Linked DNA regions of Schizosaccharomyces pombe. The gene in region 2 interacts genetically with the main gene of each other region. Each region holds a gene or a part of one and is shown on either strand. Other genes may lie near its edges.

Region 1 (3,730 bases), 1.9 Mb from region 2:
CCCTCCAACGAAAATGAAGAAAGTAAAAGAAGTGCGCCGGAAATCGCTCTCAAAGAGAAGGAATCCACATCCCAGGATGAAAGTAACAGAGAAGCAGAAGAGGCACCAATTTCCACTAATTATTCTTTCCCCTCATCATCTTTAGAGGATCAACCTGACAAGAATGTGCAGTCCTCGGCAGTTGAAAATAAAAACAAGCACACAAATCTGGTAACGTCGAGTTTCAACCTAACTAAACCGATGAAAAGTTTTATAAGGAGAAATGGTCTAAGGGTGCAAGAAAGTGTCACAGACGAAACCGACTTTGTCATCCTTGGTTCACCTCCACTTCGGAGGACACATAAGTTTTTACTGGCGACTTCTCTAGGTATACCACTTGTCTCTTCTCAATACTTGACAGACTGTATAAAATCAGGTAAAGTTTTAGATTTTCGTAGCTACAAATATAAAGACGAGGAAGCAGAAGCCAAGTGGGGATTTCGTTTGGACGATATCCACAGAAGAACGTGTTTCAATGGGAAAAGACTATACATTACAAAGGCAATTCGAGATTCGATGGTAGGGGATTCTATACACGGACTTTACTCAATTTTGGAAACATCTGGAGCTGAGGTAAGTGAAAGATGGAGAATATCTAGTTATGATAGGCTAATGATTTAAATAGATTGTTGGTGATATTAAAAGGGCTCAAGAGAAGGACACAATTATACTTGCTCAACCTGACAACGATCAAGAAGGACGGAATATGAGTGCTACTGGTTTAAATGTGTACAAGATTGAACTAGTAGCTTTATCCATCTTGCGTGATCGAATTGATTTTGATGAATTTTTGATTGACTATGATGCTGACAGTCCCACCAAAGTAATTGGAAAAAGAAATGTCTCAAAGGCATCCCGAACCGGGCAAGGAAGAAAACGATCCTCTCGTTCATCTTGGAACAAACCAAGTGCAAAGGAGCAAAGAACATAAAATTAAAGGTAAAGAGGACATCGTTTACTTTGTCTATTATTTATTTATAGAAGTATATTTGCAAACATATATTCTTGAGTTTCTTCTATGAAGGAGGACCATTAGAAATTATACAAAAATAGAATTTTAATAATGATATTAAATAAACGAGCGTATTTAAGGGCGAAGGATAAAAAACCTACACGGTTATTTAATGAAATATGCGATCTGTTAGTTGATTGTTAAAATCTTGAACCAATAAATTCAAGATACTCAACATAAATGAATCGATTTCAATACGCTTTTTTTTCTATTTTCCAGATAATGTATGAAAAAAAATAGTTTGACCAATTCCCGAAATTTATAATTATTACATCTCAATTAAAAAAACAAATAAAGAAATAAATAAAATGATATGAAATGAAGTACAAAAGGTTAATAAAAATAAATAACAAATTTCTACACGATTAAAAGATATAAAAGGTAAAAATCTTTATGAGTAGAAAAACGCATATACTTATTTGCGGTTTTAAGAGGAAGTAAAAGGAGGTAATTCCGAAACATAAAAATAAAGGGGCCTCATTATAGTGCTTCTTTTTAGTCTTGCAATTTTATTTTATTTTTTGAAAAGGTTTAGTTGTTTGTTTATTGACTACAAAACACAGCAAATCCACTCGTCATATCAGATCAAGCATACCGCATATCTAACAAATGATTCTGCAATGCATTGCACTTCACTGTATAAAATTTATTCATAAAATGCGCAATATGTATATCAGGCACTTATAGGTTTACCCAAATATGCTGTTAAATGGAATACACAGTTTTTTGCGCCATCTTACCATTTATAAAGCGTGAATTTAGAGACCCGCACATGCTTCCGCACACGGCCAAATGAGCGCTAAACCTCGGACGAGAAAGTGACCTGTGTGCTGTTTCTATTTATCGCATCGCTACGATGACATCATAGTGTGGTGAAAGCACCAGCTGTTATAAGCAGACCAACGAACCAACTCACTGTTCAACAATATTAATCAAGTTCTATTTCTTATACAAGCAATTTGGAAAATAAATCAAGTGTTAAATACATTCTTTGCTTGAGTGTATTTTATATTTTTTAGTGTTCTGTCCTTGCAATCGAAAAAAGCGCATTGACAGGTTTCGAAGCGAACAAGGAAATATCGGTTTTACTCTTGAAACAGAAATTTAACTGTATGTGAAAATTTTTTTTGGAGTTTCATTTACTAATAAAGAAGAATAGTGTGGTATTAAAAAAAATACGCAAAATATTGACTACATATTTGTTGAAATAAATTGGCGAAGGATTTATACGTATTTTATATTTATTTTTCCTCTTTTCAACACCATTATAGCGTTGCATACAATTTTCACTGCTGACAACCTTTTAAATTTTTTTTACTCTTTATTTTTTCCAGCCCCTTGTAATTAGGAAATCTAGCTTTCTCCTTCATCATGCCCCAATTTTTCAGGACCCAGCCTTTGACCGATAGGACTACAAGTCATGGTTTTGCTGAAGTTTCTTCCGAAGACCATTGTTATTGTGTTTGGCTCGTACCTGCCATTTCCTCTGATATTGAGTTGAGATATCGAACGTTTGTCGACTGGGCTGTGTGTCACAAAGTCGACTTTGAAGAAATGCAGTTACCTACCGCTCCTCACATTACTTTAGCTCGTGGTATCAAGCTGAAACCAAATCAATCGTTTAAGAGTGTTTTGCAATATATCGCTTCCAAGCGCAAGTCTCCTTTGAACATAAAGTTCGGCAAAGTCGCTATTGGGGATTCCTTCTACAAACGTGTATATATTCAGGTAGAGAAAACTCCCGGCTTGGAAGAATTGCAAAATGCTGCTTATGACTTGGCCGATACTTCTGATCCTTTTAATGTCATCGAACATCCCTATATGCCTGTCATTTATGCAAAGAGTATTTGCTCTGACTACTCTACTTCCGACCCCATTGAGACGATTTCTTCAATCGGTCAAGCCAGTTGGGGAAAGGCCTGTTTTCTTGAACTCATTCAATTAAACAAGGCCAACCATCAAGGATACGTCTGTGATCGTATTGAATTTACCGTCTAATCATTTGCTTTCCAATCTTTTTTTTTTTTTTCTTATTGATACTTTGCAAATATACCTAAACAAAAAGAGATATAGCAGGATGATACCTAGTTATTTCGCTTTAGTATTTTAATGAAGATTTAAAAAGCCTTTTTGTAACTTTATTTATTTTTATCCCTTAATGGTTTTATTAAGGTGAAAACAATCTCGCTTAAATGGATTATTCAAACCCTTAATTTTTTTTGCTTCATGTATTAACAATTTCTACCTTTATAGTATCTTTTTCACTAACTTAAATGCATCTGGTGATCACCTTTCCTGCTTTACTTTTAAACTTTGACTAAGGAAACTATTTACTTGTCTGCAGCTACTAAAAACAATATTTCGCGTTATATAAATTACCCATGTACGTGATTCAATGAAATAACATGCAGCGGTAACTATTCACACGGCGGAACCTTTCTATATCAATAAATAGATCATAATATTAGTTAACTACTACGTTGATATGGCATCTCAAATACTTATCGACCAATCCTTTGTAAACATGACTTATTTATTTATTCATTTATCTACCTTTATGCTTCAACTAACGTTTTCTATCAAACAAAAGCTGAGAATAGATGTAACATTTCCAAATTTTATCTTACATAAGAAGCATCAACAACTATCGTCATCAGGATTTCACAAATCACGGTGTTT
Region 2 (3,759 bases):
AAGCCACTGGGGGTTTTTATGGTTTAGTACCAAAATTATTTATAAATAAAGAAACGTGCGTTTGAAAAAACAACTTAATCCTTTTGGAATTTCAAAAAGAGTTTATTGGTTTGCTCCACGAAGGTAAGACAGAAAATTGTGTGAGGAGCGATTCTGGCCAAGTGAGCACCAAAACCCTTATATAAGGCAAAGAATCCTTCAGAGCGGATTGTTTTAAGGATGCAATCAATCGGATTTTTATAAAGCTCCTTGTTCTTTTGGTTGTACATACGAGTCATAACAGTATCGAAAATTTGCATGGTGCAGCATACACCAAATCCAGAAACAGCACTAGCAGTTAAGTGTTTGATCATACCCTCTTCCAATAGATTGTAATGCTCAATCATGCGTTTAGCCCAATTATAGATAGGAAGCTGAACAGAGGAACCAGAGACAGTACGGAGAATGGCAGCATCAGCACCAACAAACAAACCCTTAACACCATTTTCCTTAATAATACGACTGAATGCATTAAATATATGCTTGTAACCATACTGCTGGCCAACGGGAAATTTAGGAGAATACGACTGCATGCGAGTCTTAACCAAGAAAAAGGGAGAGCCAAACAAGGCACCACATAAACCTGAACCGGCGCCACTTGCAACGTTAATAGCTAATTTATTACCCTTGGGATCATCAAGGAACCACGTATTCAGAGTACGTCGAATCGGTTCGTAAAACCCGAGACGACAGCCATTGAGGCAGATTTGATAAACATAAGCAGTACCAAGGCCTCGTTGAAGACCTCTTATACCTTCATGTCTAGCGATTAGAGAAAATGCCTGACCGACGCTTTTGTAAATTCGCTTAGAAGGATCCAATTTTGTCAATTGACCTTGAAGTTGAAAACGCGTTTTAATAACTTCGAAAGGATTTGTCAGTGTTACAGCACCACAAGCTGCAAGACCACCTGACAAAAATCCACTAACGGGACCAAGTTTTTTCACCTGAGTAGGATTGTGTGCAGGAAGGGCTTTGATAGTTTGTTTCTCAGACATGACTTAATATTGGGATTTTTTCTTCGAATTTAAACAAAAAAATCTGCCTCAAATGGCAATTCAATTTGCGTAGCAAGTGTTGGCCGAAGGAAAAAGAATTCTTGCAGTTGAGATTTTTTCAGTGATAATAGCCTTGATTAAATTGTGCGCGGAAAATTTACCATTGCGGCAATTTGGGAAGGCAAAACGTAACTTTCGTACGGACTCAAAAAATAAGCAAAATGATACTAATAAAAAAATTATAGATTGAATTGCAATTTTTTTATTTACAAGGCACCCTAATTGCTCTATACTTTTTCCATTTTAATGCTAAATTAAACAGGTCACATGTTACTTATGTTTACTATTTGAAAATACAGATACTAGAACGCACTTAACCTCTTTAAATTAAGGATTTACCTACAATCATATATATTTTTTTTTTCTTTCTCTGTCCTACAAATATTTGGTAGAATTTTAAAATTTTTTGAATAAAAGTCATTTGAAAGTTTGAGTAATGTTTGTCAACAATAAATGCGATCGTTCGAAGGAAGGAAGGTACACACAGTTAACATTTAACTGACTTTACACTTTAAAATAGGATTCGTTGGAAACGCATGGTAGATAATGTTAAAGTAAGACAAATGCAAAATCATAGTAGCAGTAGCTTTAGATGTCATTCACTTCTGCAATGTTGTACTATTATAAAGAAAATGCCATAAAGTGATTCAAATAAGTGCATGCTCTCAACCGTCTACCCTTAACCAAAGTTCTTACTCAGACAATTAAGATGCCTTTTAGTAAGATTTTATACATACGGGGTATAAATTGTGATCAATGAAAAAAATGCAAGTACTAAATTTGATGGATAGTTTGTCGCAAGGCAGGCAATTGAATTTTGAAATAGAAATCAGTCATATTTAAGAATGGTAATTTGTTAGTAAATGCATTAAATCCCTGTGTAAATTATATGTTTCTATTTGAGTGCTTTACGTATCTAACGCATGTTATCCGAAAGCTGTCTGCTGTTGAGATTGCTTACTATTGAAATTAGTGGATATTTATAAAAGTTGTCCAGTGTGCCTTGTGTTTGGTGTTACGAATTTACTTTTCGCCAACATCCAAACACAAGTGTCTTTGGTTCAAAATCAGTATAGCAATAAGATTTAAAGATATAATTCTTGCCTATTTAAAGCCAAGACTACTTTTTTATATATTACGGAATTAACTTCTTTTCGCTCCTGTCAATTGGTCGCAAGTATCATTTTTTTGACGTCTATTGATTCAAGAATTAGAAGAATCTAGCATTCAATTGTACTTTATCTTTCACAATATTATATAACTTGATGTTTAAGAAGAGCATATGAGTGAAACAACCAAGTCTGGTTCTAAAAAATCAGGGCAGACATCACGTAGGGCGATCCATTCGTGTTTGGCTTGTCGAAGAAAAAAACTTAAATGTGATCATGGAAGACCTTGTTCCAATTGCTTAAAGCGATCAACAATCCAGTCATGTATTTATATAGATCCTGGGAAAACTAATTATGACAAGCGCTTTGAACGGGGTAGCGAAGCTGACGAATTGATAGATCAGTTACTATCCCGAGTTAGCATGCTGGAAAAACGTTTAAATGAGGTCGGCACTAAATCGCAATCTGATTATGAAAACCAACAATCTCATAATCTTCCTTCCACGCCTTCGGCAGATGCTGAGACACAGCGAAACATTGGTTCTCTTTCAGTATTAGATGATACAAAATCACAATATGCTAACTACTCGTCCTCTTCACACGTACTCTGGCATTTAAGGAATTATCATTATCTTAACTTAGATCAAGATATTCAAGAAGAAAACGATTCTCTGATTAGTCCGTTTTTTTTTCGAATATCCCCCAATGAATCTGCATACGACTATTTACCCCCCAAAAAAGTATCGGATATTTTAATTGAGCAGTTCTTTTTTCGGTGTCATATGCTCATTAATGTTTTACACAGACCAACTTTTTATGTACGATATAATGATTTTTGGGAAAAACCGCACTTGCGAAAACCAGCTTTTACTAGTTTATTATACGCAATCTATGCTAGTGCATTACTAGCTACACCTGTTGAAGTGCAAAAGACATGGGCGCTTGGTGAAGACGAGAGATATCTTCAGGTAGATTATCATCAAGCTTTTCGCTACGCACTGGCTTCGTCTAATTTTCTGTTTGAACCAGATCTTAATGCTTTGCAAGCTCTTGTTCTTTGTCAGGTTTGTGATATTGAAATGGGTTTAACTAACTCAATTTAGGTTGTCTTTGATTCTGACCGCATTCGCGCTCCACCTTCCTTAGTCGGCTTGATTCTTCACGTAGCGCTATGCATGGGCCTTCACAGAGATGGCTCGCTTTATGGACTTAATCCGGTAATTTCCGAGATTAGACGTCGTGTGTGGGCGAATATAGTCTTGTCGGATCTTAGAACTTCTGAAACTATTGGTTATCCTCCTCAAATTGTTGAGGGAAATTATGATACACGTCTTCCCTCTGCTTTACCTGATGAAATTCATAATGTAGATTCTTCCGTTATTATTTCTGAGGCCACTTTTGTTAACATTATCACGAAGGTTTCACGAGCATATTCAAAGTGTTTGAAAGTTTTGCTAGGCATTATAGCTCCTAATTATACACGTTTATTAGAGCTTGACAGGGAGCTTTCCAATTTTTTTAAAGAATTGATAGAAGTGAATATTCCAACTAGT

The links. A genetic interaction does not mean that the proteins touch.
Region 1: of toe2 (region 2) and SPOM_SPACUNK4.15, changing one suppresses a phenotype caused by changing the other (phenotypic suppression), as found in Schizosaccharomyces pombe (one study listed by BioGRID).

Annotation. Positions count from the first base shown.
Region 1 is NC_003424.3:2,880,424-2,884,153, reverse strand, and holds SPOM_SPACUNK4.15 (2',3'-cyclic-nucleotide 3'-phosphodiesterase), read left to right. Parts: upstream 1-1,972; 5' UTR 1,973-2,161; intron 2,162-2,210; 5' UTR 2,211-2,422; coding exon 2,423-3,049; 3' UTR 3,050-3,191; downstream 3,192-3,730. Other genes in the region: BRCT domain protein Mdb1, read left to right, coding at 1-612, 665-970.
Region 2 is NC_003424.3:1,019,538-1,023,296, forward strand, and holds the start of toe2 (protein toe2), read left to right. Parts: upstream 1-2,132; 5' UTR 2,133-2,379; coding exon 2,380-3,270; exon of another isoform or gene 3,271-3,309; coding exon 3,310-3,759. Other genes in the region: oac1 (anion transporter), read right to left, coding at 75-1,037.